Linked DNA regions of Alligator mississippiensis. The protein of the gene in region 1 binds, or shares a complex with, the protein of each later gene. Links are inferred from orthologs where the notes say so. Each region holds a gene or a part of one and is shown in the gene's direction. Other genes may lie near its edges. The genes, in order: GAPDH and RPL13A.

Evidence for each region.
Region 2: GAPDH (region 1) and RPL13A share a complex: the UniProt entries of both Homo sapiens proteins name them as parts of the GAIT complex. The link is inferred for Alligator mississippiensis from reciprocal best matches to the Homo sapiens genes GAPDH and RPL13A.

The regions. Positions count from the first base shown.
Region 1 is NC_081824.1:243,386,739-243,393,929, forward strand, and holds the start of GAPDH (glyceraldehyde-3-phosphate dehydrogenase), read left to right. Parts: upstream 1-3,833; 5' UTR 3,834-3,899; intron 3,900-4,133; 5' UTR 4,134-4,153; coding exon 4,154-4,176; intron 4,177-4,818; coding exon 4,819-4,918; intron 4,919-5,282; coding exon 5,283-5,389; intron 5,390-5,497; coding exon 5,498-5,588; intron 5,589-5,768; coding exon 5,769-5,884; intron 5,885-6,028; coding exon 6,029-6,110; intron 6,111-6,571; coding exon 6,572-6,727; intron 6,728-6,885; coding exon 6,886-6,960; intron 6,961-7,191. UniProt on the Homo sapiens protein: Has both glyceraldehyde-3-phosphate dehydrogenase and nitrosylase activities, thereby playing a role in glycolysis and nuclear functions, respectively.
Region 2 is NC_081828.1:39,550,697-39,558,022, reverse strand, and holds the start of RPL13A (large ribosomal subunit protein uL13), read left to right. Parts: upstream 1-4,185; 5' UTR 4,186-4,269; coding exon 4,270-4,284; intron 4,285-4,660; coding exon 4,661-4,733; intron 4,734-5,097; exon of another isoform or gene 5,098-5,179; intron 5,180-5,703; coding exon 5,704-5,769; intron 5,770-6,298; coding exon 6,299-6,400; intron 6,401-7,014; coding exon 7,015-7,100; intron 7,101-7,151; exon of another isoform or gene 7,152-7,228; intron 7,229-7,312; coding exon 7,313-7,326. UniProt on the Homo sapiens protein: Associated with ribosomes but is not required for canonical ribosome function and has extra-ribosomal functions.

The DNA.
Region 1 (7,191 bases):
TCAGAAGCTGTAGTGTTGATCTCCACTTCCACGTGGTGGCTTTGCAGGGTTAATTGCAGCTTTTGTCAGCATATCACACCCCAAAGTTTCTAGTCCTAATCCTAGCTCTACTGAGACAGGAAACTGCAAGAGAACTCAAAGAAAAGCCAGCCAAACAGCAAATGAGCCTGAACTGCAACTAGCGCCAACCACGCTGCTTGGTCAGGACAAAGAACTGCAAAAGCAACAACATGGGTCAGCCCCAAACCATGCCAGGCCTGAACATGCAGCAAACACACAGCAGGGCTCAGCGACACAGCTAGGCTGAGGCACAACAGCTATAAAACAATAAAAGGGGGGACCCAGGCCTGTCCTGCACCTCCTGTCCTGAACATACAACAAAAGAGCACCAGGCCTATTTGGCTGCGGCCTGGACATTTAGTCTCAGCTACACTGCTATGCTGAGACCTAACAGCTATGAAACAACAAAAAGGGGTCAGGCCTACTTTGGAAAGGACCTGAACTACAACTAGTGCCCAACCATACTGCTTGGTTTGGGCATAAACTGCAAGAGGGACAAAAGGAGGCCCAGGCCTATTTCACTGGACCTGGACTGGGCAAAAAGCTGGCCAGGCCTATACCACACTAAAGCCTGGATAAACAACAAGAAGTGCCATAGTCTCACCCTAGCCCAAATCTGCCAGCCAGTCATATGGCTGGGGTTCAGCCACCTCAACTGGGCTGAAATGCAATTGCTGTGGAACAGCAAAAAGGGCTCAGGCTTATAGCTCCAGCTTGGACATCCAGTCTACCATGCTGAGACACTACAATCCCCAACACAGGAGGTCAGTAACTGCCAAAACCCCATTCCTGGTCAGTCTGCTCTAGGGATTAATACACTAATGATGCCATCCCACTCAAGGCCCGTGTGGCCAAAACTGCCATCAAGACATACAGCTGGGGTTCAACCACACATCTAGGTTGAAACCAAAAGGAGTGTAACCACAACTTCTACATGTCAGGCTCTTAGGCCTGGCCAGGAGCTCATCAGCAAAACTGCCAGGCTCCAACTCTGGCTAGTCTGCTGCATGGAATTGATACCCCCACTCCCCCAATGGTATCATCTCACTCAAAACCCAGAAAACAAAAGGGGAAAGGAGAGGGAGAAAACAGGGGTCTCAAGCCCTGAGACAGACTTTCTCTTCCTGTACCTGAGGCTTCTCAGTCACACAGCTTTTACTTGCTTCTCCACTGAAGAGGGGAGAGACATGACAGCGCCCCCCCCCGGCCCAACAGGAGCAGGTTTTCCGACTCCCAATTCAACAGTACAGCTCTCAGCAGCCCCAGGAGAAAAGAGCCCCCAGCCTAGGTAGCCTGAACCTTAAATAACTTTTCTGACATCATTACAGGGTCCCAATCAAGAAACAGCATCATTTAAACACTGGTAATGCAGACCAATGTATTCAAAGGTGGTCAGTGCTCCTGGATGCGCTCAGGAGTCACTGAACTGGTTTTACTAGTTCTTTTAAGGAATCTTAAGACAATGGTCAGGACACAATGACGGGGGAGGGAAGTGGGCCTCTTCCAGTCTCCAAAAAACACACACAACTACCAAAACCACACTTTACCACACACAACCCCAAGTGTGTGTGGGTGTTACATAAGTAAAATGCCAGCAGCCCAGTGCCTGGCCCTCATGTAGCCTTTTACTACATCCATTTTGATACTCTTGCTCCATGAGTCCTACAGAGGGGAAGGGTCAGCATTTCACAGCCAGCAGATGGCAGCAGCATCCCAGCTAGGCAGGCCTGCTGTTCTCTCTGCGCAGTTCACCTGTGGAGTCCGGTGGAGTGGCTTCTCTCTGTTTCTCACATATCAAGCACGACCTTTCCTCACTCCTGCACCAATGCCAGGAGAGCAGCTAAATCCAGATCTATTCTGTACTGGGGAAAGACTTCCCAGTTCTGTACCATTCAGTTTCTGTCACTCCCTGTCTCACTCTCTGCTTCCCACAGACACTACACCATTGTGCTAGGCCCAGTGGCTGTCCCTGGCCTGGTCTAACACCCTTATGTAACAGCCACTCCAACATCATTCCCTTGATTCACAGTTGCCAAATCCCACGGCTGACTCTGCCCGACTCTGTCATCCTTCCTCCCCAAACTTTCACAGTCACAGACGAGTGAAAGAGGTCTGTGGGGAGCTGGCTAACAGATCACTGACCCTATGTGTGCTATTACGAGGTGCTGGGGAACACATCTTCTACTTCCCTGTGCTCCATGTTTAGCCCCTCACTCCTGCCACCCCAGAGGAAGCTGCTTTCATGTTGTCAAGGCATGAGACAAGGGAGTAGCATATCTCAACCTACATGTACTCCAAGCCAGAGAAGCAGGAATGTTGACTGTGGAGTATGTCCCTGCGAGCTCATCTTGGCTTGCCCCAACTGGAGCTTTGGCTACGGAAAAGTGGTTGAAAGGTTGAGTGGGACAACACTAGGGCCAGAGAGGTTTGCAGTTGTCATGTTGGCTGTTCTCACCTGCCCTGTGCCCCCTGCACAGAGTCCTCAGCAGCATTCATGTTTGCTCAGTAAACAGTAGGCCTTGCAAATGTGCTAGTAGCCTGGAGCCACCTTTTGTCACTGTTCTGCTCCCCCTAGCAGGCTGGGCCTTGGGGCTGGCCCCTTTCCTGAGGGAGGAAGAGGTGCCAGGATTGTCACCCCCTCCCCACTGACCCCTCCACAGGGTTGCAGCATAAGCCATCCATCCCCATGGCCTTTAAGTAAAGGTCACAACCTCCATTGGAGCTAAACTTAGCTGTCTACTTCTTTGGCAGCCCTGGGAATAGTAGCTTTGCAAGGGGAGTTGGGTTACGCCTGAGTGAGGTGACCTGTCTGCAGACCCCCTTGGTATCTACTCCCCATCCCCCCCACGCCACGCCTGCCCTGCTGTCTCTCATGCCTGCTGCCAGCCTGCTCCAGAGGTTCCTAAACAGGGCCAGGCAGGGGGGGGGGGGGGAAGCCTGCTGCCCCTCACTACATCTTCTCCTGAAAGATTGCTTCATCTAAGGCAGGTATGGCTATATAGGATAACTTGGCAACATTGCCAGGATCATATCACAAGAGTATTTAATAGTGTTAAGTATAATCTAAATATCCCTTAAGTATCTAAGTATCATCTAAGTATCCCTTAGATTATGCTTGCATGTCTTCAAGTCTTCTTTCACAAAACACATAGCACACTCGCTCCTTAGTGCCTCAGGGTTCACAGCAGTCTTATGCTGGGTTTAGCCCATGGATGGTTTGGATAGGGGTGACCCTGGCTCAGGCAGTGCTGGACTCCATGATTCCTGGAGGTCCCTTCCAGCCCCGCTTCTCTGACTCCATCCCTTCCTGGTGCTCTGGGCTCCAGGTGCCCTTCCTGCGCCAGCGTTGCCCCCCAGGGCCTGGGGAGCTGGAGCCCGCATGGCAGCGCCGGGGCTAAGCCGTGGGAAGGCCGAGCGGCGCGGGGACGGGGCACTTCGGCCAGGCCACTGGGCGCTATCGCGGCCCTGGGCCGGCGGGAGGATTTCCGCCGTCACGTCCCGCAGGGGGGGGGGGGGCGCACGGGGCCCGAGGGGGCGCCGGGGCTGCGTCCCCCGCCCCCGGCACGGCCCCTGCCCGAGGGCGCGTGGGATAGGCACACACCTACCCGCCTAGGCGAGCAACCCCAACCCCAGTGCGCCCCACTCCCCCGTCCAGTGCCCGCCCGGATCTGGAGGCAACGCCAGGCCAGGCGAGCTGAGGCGCACGTAGCCCGGGGCCGCCCCCCGACGCTGATTGGGCGCGGGCCGCAAGGGCGGGCCCGCGAGTCGCTATATATTGGGGTGGCGCGGCTCGCTCCCACCTCCTCACTGCACGTCGAAGCCGAGCTGGGTCAGGCCAGGTGCGCGGGGCCAGGGCCAGGGCCAGGGCCAGGCGCGGCACGTGGGTGTCCGGGACTGGCCAAGGGGCGCTGCCTGCCTGTGTCCCGGGCGGGGCAGGGCGGGGGCATCGGGCTGTGCCGGACGGGACGGGACGGGACGGGGTGGGGTGCGGGCGGGCTCAGAGAGGCGGCGAGTTCTGGGCTGCGGCCTCCGGAAAGTGTCCGCGCTGGTCTCACCGCCGCTTCCTCCCCTAGGAGCATCTTCCAGAGACAAGATGGTGAAAGTCGGCGTAAACGGGTGAGCGCGGGGCGGGGCTGGGCCGGCCGCCCGGGCTGTGCTTCCCCCCCCCCCAAGGACGTGTCAAGGTCGTCCCGTGCGGCAGCTGCGGCCGCGGCGCCCCCCGCCCTCCCGCCTGTCGGTCCGCGCACGCGGCCCCTTGTGCGCGGCAGCCGCGGCCCGGTGGGGCGGCCGCTGAGTCACTTCCCCCCCACCCCCCTCTGGGCCACGCCGGGCTGAGTCACACGAGCGGGAAGCGCCACCGCCTCGGGGCAGCACTAGGGCTCTGCCCTGGGATCTCCTGCGGCTTCCTGGCCCCCCCCCCCAGGATCGCGTGTCTGCCTGAGCCCTGAGGCCCCGGGAAATGCGACCTTATGGTGCTGTAACTGGAGCTGCTGTCCCAGGCCCAGTAAATTTAGTACCTGACCTTTCTGCAGTGGACCGGGCCGGTTAATCTCCAACTTCTCTTGCCCTTTGGTCTGCTGCAGCTGGGCAACCCCCCCCCTGCTGCCCTGCGGCCTCTCCTTGTGCAGAGGAAAGGGCAGCTGCTTCAGGAGTGGCACCACAAATCTCTCCCTCCCCAGACTGCAGCACTCCTTCACAGTGTCCCCTTCCCACCCCTCGATGTGCCTGGGCCTCAGTTTTTATTTCCCCCCCTTCCAGATTTGGCCGTATCGGCCGCCTGGTCACCAGAGCCGCCTTCAGCAGTGGCAAAGTTGAGGTCGTGGCCATCAACGACCCCTTCATTGACCTCAACTACATGGTGAGTGGGATCCCTCCACCTTGCTCTCCCTCCCCAGCCCACCAGGTTTACTGGCCTTTGGCCAAGCTGCCTCCCTGCATGGCGAGAAGGGAGGGAAAGCAGTGACTCTCCAGTCCCTCCAAAAGCCAAGCACCATGGGCACATGAGGTGTGGCAGAGATTACAGTGAAGGGCTGCTGGCTGGCCTCAGAGCCATATCAAGGGAGCCAGACCCAAGCAAGGTCTTTTCAGGAAGAAGCAGCAAGCTACCCTCAGCCAAAAGGGTTGGCAGAGCAAGGGGTGTTGGAGCCCGGAGTGGCAGGGGATTATTGGAGGGATACAGCCCACGTTTCTGACATTGCTCTTTCCCCTATCCCACCCACCAGGTTTACATGTTCAAGTATGACTCCACACACGGTCGCTTTCATGGCACTGTCAAGGCTGAGAATGGAAAACTTGTGGTTAATGGGCATGCAATCACAATCTTCCAGGAGTGAGTGTCCCTTCCCCTTCCCTTTCCTTTTGCAGCTTGGGGCACAGGGTGATGTGGAGGAGCAGAATTTAATAGCTTTTGGATATTAAACGATCTCTTTCCTCTCAGGCGTGACCCCAGCAACATCAAGTGGGGAGAAGCTGGAGCAGAATATGTTGTAGAGTCCACTGGAGTCTTCACCACCACAGAGAAGGCCAGTGTAAGTGGTGGCTGTACCTAGGGTGGATATGTGAGAGGAAGGGTTTAAGCAGGGCGATAGCTCTGTCTTAAGCAAGAGAATGTGTTTGAATGACTTCAAGGTGTGAGGAAGTGTATGACTTGCATGTGTGTGGTATCCCCTCATACCTGGGTAGATAAGAGTATTCTCCCTCTCTCCTAGGCTCACCTGAAGGGTGGTGCAAAGCGTGTGATCATTTCTGCCCCCTCAGCTGATGCACCCATGTTTGTGATTGGTGTCAACCATGAGAAGTATGACAAGTCTCTGAAAATTGTCAGGTGAGGAATGGGCACCTGTGCAGGACAAGTCTGAGGTGCAAAGTGGACCCCAGTGAGGTAGGGAGTTTTGCTCCCTGCCTGTGCTCTCCACTGGGGGTTGGCCCCACCTGCCCCAGGCTGATGTCTTGCTCTCCTTTCCCATAGCAATGCCTCCTGCACCACCAACTGCCTGGCCCCCCTAGCCAAGGTCATTAATGACAACTTTGGCATTGTGGAAGGTCTCATGGTAAGTGACCTGGAAACATCAGGCCTGGAGGGTAGAAAGGGGAGAGATCTGTTACAGAACTTTCAACCAAGGGGTTGGCCATAAGAGTAAGGGGGCAGTGATGGGGGGTGGTCACTTTTTTTTTTTTTCTCCCCCCACAAGAGGTAGTACAGTTGCCCATCCTGGTGAACTTCAAAAAGTGTCTTGATGCTCATCTTGCTGGGGTCATCTGATTCCAGGTCTTTCCTGCCCAAGTACAGGGGGGCTGGACCCAATGATCTGTAAGATCCTTCCCAGCCCCAAACAACTGAAACTAACAGGCCTGGCTTTGTGGGTGGGGGTTGTTGATCTAGTAGAGTAGGAAGGGTGATCCTTCCTATACCATCTGGACACTGGGGAAGGTAGGGGCCAGCAGGTAGCTCAGGTAGTGAGGTGAAACTCCAGGTGCATATACTGTATTCTAACTCTGTCCCACCTTCTAGACCACAGTCCATGCCATCACAGCCACACAGAAGACTGTGGATGGCCCCTCTGGGAAGATGTGGCGGGATGGCAGAGGCGCTGCCCAAAACATCATTCCAGCATCCACTGGTGCTGCCAAGGCTGTGGGAAAAGTCATTCCTGAGCTCAATGGGCGAGTATCTCCACCCTCATCCCCAAGGGTTACCTGCATGGGGGAAGGAGGGCAGGATAAGCTACAGCTACAGCCTCCCAGCAGGCTGTGTCAAAACCCTAGTTGACCTGGGAATCATGGATGCACACTCATCTGGTGACACCTGACTTGTCTTGCAGGAAGCTCACTGGAATGGCATTCCGTGTCCCAACACCCAATGTCTCTGTAGTAGACCTGACCTGTCGCCTGGAGAAAGCAGTAAGTATTGCAGGTGCAGGATCTGGAGCAGCTTTGCTGCACTTGCTATATATTCTGTCCTGTCTTGATGTGGAGCAGTCCTCCCCTTGCCTTATCCCTACTTGTCCCCTTAGGTTGAGAGTCTCTCTTGGCTGGAATAGCATTTGATAGTCCTAGCTGTGCTGCTTTTGGTGTCTTAAGCTGTGGCAGTGATCTGCCTTGGTGGGAAGGCAGAAGGGTTTGATCAGCTGT
Region 2 (7,326 bases), on another chromosome or scaffold:
AGCCAGGTAGCCAGGGGTGATGGGTGGGGATAGAGTGTGGGGATCTCTTTGAGGGATCCTCTGGGGGCAGGCCATATTGGGGTACAAGACCAGAGAATTTTGGGATGGGGGATTATGGGGGCACAGGGAGATTTGGAGGAGCAGGTACAAGTCTAGTACAATGGTCTGTGTGGGGGTGGGATTCTGACATGAAGCAGTAATAAGGGAGCCAGAGGTAATTTCTGGGGGGACAGCAGGATGTGGCGGGCAGGGGGTACTTTTGGGGCTGGGGTACAGCTGATCAGGGGGTCCACAGGGCAGTCTCTGGGTTCTGGACAGGCTGAGGCACCCAGCAGATCTGGGGTATTGGGGGGCTGCTGGCATGTTTGGGGTTAATTCCAGGGTGGAATTAACCCCTTACACCCCCTAAGCGCCCCTGAATTAACCCCAAACATGTCAGGATGCCCAGTGACCCCTCTGGTACCCAAATCTGCACTCCAGAAATATTGCTGGGTCCCCCCGCCTGTCTACCACTTCCCTGTGGGTCCCAGTATCAGCTGTACCCCAGGCCAAGAAGTACCCCCTGCCCCCACATCCTGCTGCCTCCCCAGAATTTACCCCTGCTGCACCCCAGATTCCCTTCTGCACTGACACAGACTTGGGGTGCCAGGAGCTGGGGGGGGGGTCAGGGGTTTTGGGTGAGTGCAGGAAGAAGTCTGGGGTGCAGTGGGTTTGGGGACCTAGCAGTAAAAATGGAGGTTCAGGGGGGGTGATGCTAAGGACAGAGGGGACCTTGTAGGGGCAGGAACAGTTTGGGGGCAGGAGGTATCTGGAGGGGGCAGGAGGGGCTGGGGGTGAAGGACGCATTTGGGGAGCAGAGAAGAAATGCGGGGAGGTGGCTGCAGGGCAGTTTTCAAGGCTCCTGTGGGGAGATCAGTCCCAGGGGGCCATAGGGGGGACTCACAGGGGACAGAAGATCAGGCTTGGGGCCCAAGGGTGCCTGGGTTCTCTCCTCGCTCTAGCAGGGGAGTGGGATTCTGGCAGGGTAGAGCAGGGGGCTGGGAGCCCAGGACACCTGGGTTCTATCCGCACTCGGGGAAGGGAGCAGGGTCTGGTAGGTTGAGGTGGGGGGAAGCTGCAAGCCCAGATGCTTGGGTTCTACCTCAGCTCTGGGAGACGAGTGGGGTTTGGGGATCTGGGAGCTAGGACGCCTGGGTTCTCTGTCTGGAAAGCAGAGGGTTTCTCTCTCTCTCTGCTGGGGTCCATGTTATCCCCCGAGTAGCAGCCATCACCTCCCGTGAACTCTGCCATGCCCAGCAATATGCCCAGAAACACAGGATCCTGCCTATGGCAGCTATGAGGAGCTGGCCAAGGACCCTGACATGGATGAGCATTGGGATGGCGGGGGAGAAGGGAGATCCTTTGGGGCAAGGCAGATCCAGCCCGTCTAGGGAGCAAGGGCCCTATGACAGAGAGGGGTGGTTGGGGCACTGGGTGGGGATTGGGCTTTGTAAGGCCACAGGGATTTGGAGGGTAAATTAGGTTCTCTCCCAGCTCTGGGTGGGAAATAGGGCCTGGTTGGTCACAGCTGAGGGTGCAGGGGCAGGAACTAAGATGCCTGGATTTTCTCCCAGCCTGGGAGGGAAGTGGGGGCTAGTGGGACACTACAGGCAGGGACATAGAAGCCAGGACACTTGGGTTCTCTCCTAACCCTGGAGGGAAGTGGGGCTGATGGGTTGGGAAGGTTGGGGGGCTGAGATTCAGGGTTCTGTCCCAGCTCTGGGCAAGGGGTTGGGGGTGAGTGGAGCCTGGACACCTGGGTCCCAGCTGACTGCACTGTTGCAGATGTGGTGTACCTGGGGGTGGTGAATCCCATCCACCTGCCCACAGGGCAGCTGTTTCTGTGGGCTGGCAAGCCTGTGTTGCTGGAGAAGCCTACGGCCATGAATGCAACTGAGGTATGGGAGCTGGCCCAGGAGGCCTGGAAGAGTGGGGTCTTACTTATGGAGGTGAGACATGGAACCCCATGCAGGAACCCCCTGCAGTGCAGCTCCCCCTCCCAACCCTCTCTGCAATATGGCACGGCAGCCCCCTCAGCTGTCCCTGTCCTCCCCCCACCCTAGGTGCTCTGGACCTGCTTCTTCCCAGCCTCCCAGCAGATCCTGTCGCTCTTGTCTTTGGATGGGATCAGGGAAGAGAAGCTGTTAAGGGAAGAGTTTGAGGCTCCCATCACAGGGGTCCCACGCATTGTGGAGAAAGAGTTGGGTGGCAGCACAGTGCTGGACATTGGCTGCTATGTCATCCATTTTGCCTGCATGGTCTTCCGCGGGGAGAAGCCCAAGTCCATCACTGCCTCAGGTTTCCTGTGCCCCACTGGTAATGAGGCTGTGGGGGTGGAAGTAAGGAGCACCCATAGGGTTTGGGATGAGCTGGGGGCTGCAGGTCAGAAGTAAGGGACACTGGCAGGGCTGGGGGGATAGAGGGTCCCATCGGAGCTGCCTCCCCTTCTAGGTGTGGATGAAACCACTTCCATCATCCTGAACTACTCAGGGAAGTGCCAGGCTGTGCTCAAATGCTCCACTGTGGTGAAGCTGCTTAACCAGGCAGAGGTTGGCTGCACCAAGGGCATCCTCCAGGTATCAGGCCAGGAGGGGAAATTAAGGTAAGAAAGGAAGGAGAAAGTCAATGGGACAGCCTAGACCCAGGCATACTGGCTCCCAGCAGGCCCCACTCCCCTGCCAGAGATGGGGATGGAAACTGGGCATCCTGGATCCCAAGCTGTGCCCCTGTGCTGAGCCCTGGGGTGCTGTGTCTCTCCCACAATAGGTCCCGGATTACCTGTGGTGCCCCATGGAGCTGGCAGTGAATCGGAAACTGGAGGAGTGCCCACTGCCACCCTGCTCTCAGCCCCCTCAACTTAGTGTCTGCTGAAAGGTGATGGGCCAGGGCACTGTTTGGAAAAGCTCGCAGCACTGGCTGGTAGATCCCAGGTTTAGGCGTTGCTGGGGGGAAGCTCACAGCTCTGATGCCCTCCACACTGACACCCATCCCACTGTCTCTGACAGGCCTGAAGAGCCCCATCCTGCCACTGGCCGAGAGCGAGCTGGCTGCCTCCATCATGAATTAGTTGTGGCAGCAGCTGGGGGTGACATACACTGAAGAGCGGGTCTGACCCCCCCCAGCCCCGCCAGGAACCCCAATAAAGATGCGTGTGGAGACCCCCTGTGTGTGTATCTGTGACAGATGGCAGGGGTGGGTGTCTGGGGTGATGCTTCCCTGTGCAGTGGGCCACAGTGTGGGTGGGGCTGGGGTCTCTGTCCCATTGGGGCATCAAGGTGGGGGTGGGGCTGTGATGTCACAGGGGACTTGGGGAGTTTCTTGGGGGGTTGGTCTGGCTGTGGCCTCTGGGTCACAGGGGTGGAGGTTCCTGGGGGGGTTGTGATGTGGGGCTGTGACAGTCAGGGTAGGGCAGAGGTTGGGCCCAGAAGAAATTACTGTGATGTCAGAGGGGCTGGATATGACATCGCAGTGGAGATGGGGCTGCGGTTTGGAAGGCTAGGAGGTGGTGACATCATGGCTGGGGCAAAAGGTGGGCCTGTTACATCACAGGGGAGCTTTCTGGGTATGATGTCAGGGTGGGCTGAAGGCTGGGGGTCTGCAAGCGGGGCTTAGGAGGAGGCTATGATGATGGGGGGTCCTTGGGGCTTGTGGGGGTTGGCTGTGATGTCAGGGGGGCAATGGAGAGGGGTGATGAGGCCTCCTGCTGCTGGGAGGAGGGGAGTGGGTTCCCTATGGAGAACGCCCCCCTGTCACTTTGGGGCCCCACTCCCGCACCCCATCCTGGCTGCAGTCTCTGTGCGTAGAGGCACGTGATTCACGTATCTGAATAAACATGAGGTGGGCGTAGGTTTACTTCCACCCCCCCCAATCTCGCTTTATATACCGGTAGTTCCGGGGCGCGTGCTCTAATGGTGCCCCCTAGGCAGCGACTTCCGCCCGGGTTTAAGACGACATTCGGCGCTGCCCTCGCCGGACAAGGCTGCACTTCCGCCCGACTTCACCCCTAACGGTCCCAACCCCTCTTTTCTTTTGCCCATAATGGCGGCTCCCGCTTCCACTCACTTCCGCCCTGGCCCCATGTAATCTCCGGGCTACGAAGTGCGGCTCCTCAGGCCTCGATACTTCCGTCCGGCTGTGAGGTCACTTCCGCCCCTGTGCACTTCCCCGCCCGGAAGGGGAGACCCCGTAGCGGGCGCGGGGTGGAGCCTCTTTCCTGTGCGGCCGGCGAGGATGGCGGAGCTCAAGGTTCGTGCAGGACCGTGATCGTCCTCCACTCCGGCCGCGGGGTCACGCGTGGGGAGCCGGCAGTGGGGGCGGGTCCTGGGGGAACGGTCCAGTGTGGCTCTGCGGGGTCCTGGGTGGGCCCATGTGGTCGGGCCGTGCGGGGGAGGCTTAAGGGTTGCCGCGTGGGGCACTGCCTGGGGATCTGGTCCCAGGCAGGTCTTGTGTAGGAGGGGGCTCCCCTGGGGTCCGCAGGGGCAGGGCTTGGGGCCCCCTGAGGCCTGCACCAAGCTGGGCTCCATCTCCAGCTGTGGGAATGGGGGGCTGCTGGTCTCCATTTCTCTGCCAAGTTCTTCCCCTAGCCCCCAATGACGTCCACCTCTTTCCCCCTCCCCCCCAGGTTCTGGTCATCGATGGCCGTGGCCACCTCTTGGGGCGCCTTGCAGCCATCGTCGCTAAGCAGGTCCTGCTGGGTAAGTGTTTGGGGGTGGGGGAAGAAGGCATCAAAAAGCATGGAAGAGATGATGTCTTTTGTTAGACCAACCAGTGACTTGCAAAGAAATCACGTTACTTATTTGCAAGCTTTTGTGCACACTTGCCTTTCGTCGGACATAGGAGAGGGCAGAGATTGTAAAACTTCTCCTAGGTAGAAATGAAGATTCATATTTGGCAGGAGACCTGAAGGTGTAGTAAAGTTTCTTGTTTGGAATAGTTTGTTTTGTCCAGGTTAGATGCAGAGAAAAGTTGAAAGACTTTTTAAAGTCTCATTTTGGGGGTGGGGGAGAAACTCTCCCCCCCTTGTAGGGCCAGGGGGAGCCCCTGTCTGTGCCCAGCAGGGAAGTCTGTGATGATGCTAACTCGGTGTTTGAGTCTCACGGCCATGAGAACACCTCTTCCATGCACTACCATCTGAGACAGCTCCTGGCAGCCTAGGCACTTGGGTTCTCTCTGGGAGGGGAGCAGGGTTGGGTGGGTTAGAACAAGCTGGGGCTGGGAGCTGACACCTGGGTTCTGTCCTAGCTGGGTGGTGTCTGGTGGGTCATTGTGAAGTGGCTGGGGGTTGCAGGCCAGGACTCCTGGGTTCCATTGCTGTAGGTTAGGTCATCAGAGTAGTCGTATGCTGAGGTCTGTGCTGTTGGTGAGGTTTGAGGCTTCATGGTTCGAGGCTCTGCTGTCTGCCCAGTCCATTGCTTTTTGCAAACCGCCCCAGTTATGGCCCACTGATTGCACCCCTAGCCAAACTGTTAGCCCCTGGAGGAGCACCAGGCAGGTCTGACTCAATCCTTCTGGGCCTTCAGAGTTTTGGACCTTGTGCCTTTCTGTAGTCGCTTGATTGGGCTAGGAATTTTACTTGACATGTACCTACCTTACCCCCCCCCCGGTGTATGGTCTGACGCTGCTCAGAGACCCTGTTACCATCTATCTCCCTTTGCCTTCTCTTAGGACGCAAGGTGGTGGTAGTGAGATGTGAGGGCATCAACATCTCTGGAAATTTTTACCGGAACAAACGTAAGTACCTCTGCAAGTGGGGGTGGGAGCTGAAATGACTGGATTCTGACCTGGCTCTAGTGGGAAGCAGGGGACCTTGGAGCCAGGACTCATAGGTCCTTTTCCAGCCTAGCATTTCCCCGCCTGCCACAGCCGGGACACAGCATTTCATGGTGCTGATTCTTCACCCTCTTGCAACCGTTGGGCTGAGAGACTTCTCCTTGGAACTGAGGCCTGTGTGCAGGAAGCTGGTGGCCCCTGATGAGGGGGGACACAGGGACCCTGTATATAGCCCTGAACTAGCATTAGGTGTTCTCTACTTGGCTGGCTGCTTCCTTTTTCTGGTCTGTGGAATCTAGTGCCTGCCCACTGCTCCTGAACCTGTATAGATTTAGAGTGGTGAAGGGGAAACTGAGGCATGATGAGCCAGGGCTATGCCTATGTCCTGCAGATTTGTAGCAAAGCTAAGAATGGAACCCAGGTGTCCTTCCTCCCTGTAGAGGTATAGATTAATCCTTAACCCCTCCCCTGGGCACTGCTTTCATTCCAGTCAAGTACCTGGCCTTCCTTCGCAAGAGGATGAACACTAATCCTTCCCGTGGCCCGTACCATTTCCGTGCCCCCAGCCGCATCTTCTGGAGGACTGTCCGAGGTAACATCCCTATGGGTGGATGCATCTGCCTTTAAAGGACCAGTTGGGGTGGTTCTTTGTTCAGTGAGCTTCCCCAGCTCTGGGAGAGGAGTAGGTTTGGCTGGATTTGGAGCAGGGGGGCTGGGAGCTCAGTGTCTGGGACCTGGGTTCTATTCCAGCTCTGAGGGCTGTGGAGTCTGGTGGGTCAGAAGATGGAGGGGGGGAGGGTTAGAGGAGATGCTGGGGGTGTGATTACTAACTTTGGGGTAGCAAGTGTAAATGCTCTAACCCCTGCAGTCCTAGAGAGGTCACTGCAAGGTCCCTGGGTGGCCTGGGAAGCATAACTGCCCCTCTCATGCCTCCCTCAGGGAGGGGCAGAGAACAGCCATGGTACAACATGCCCTGGCTGTGCTCCCCCTGGCTTCCCCTTCCTGGCTTGGGAAGGAGGGGCATGCCTATGAATCCTTCCCCTCCCACCCCCCTCTGTTGAGGGGGAGGTGAAGAAGAGGGTGAGAACTGCCCCAGCCATGCCCCTTACTGCCCCTGGTGGAAAGAATGGAGCAGAGGACAGCCCCAGCACAGGCCTTCTGTACCCCATCCTGCCCTTCTGCTAACCAGGCCTCCTCTCCATGCAGGGATGCTGCCCCACAAAACCAAGCGAGGGCAGGCCGCACTGGAGAGGCTGAAGGTGTTTGATGGCATCCCGCCCCCTTATGACAAGGTGAGGCATGGTGCCCTCGGGTGGGTGGGAGGGACAGAATCATTCCCACCCCGCGTCTGTGATGCTCTAATTTACCTACATTGTTTGATGGCTCGTGAGAAGAAAATCCTTCAAACACTGAGATGCCGCCACCTATACCTCCTGCTTCCCATCCCTGCTTCCCCTTCCTTGATGTGATGCTCTCCTTCCTCTTCTCCCCCCACCCCACGCAGAGGAAGCGCATGGT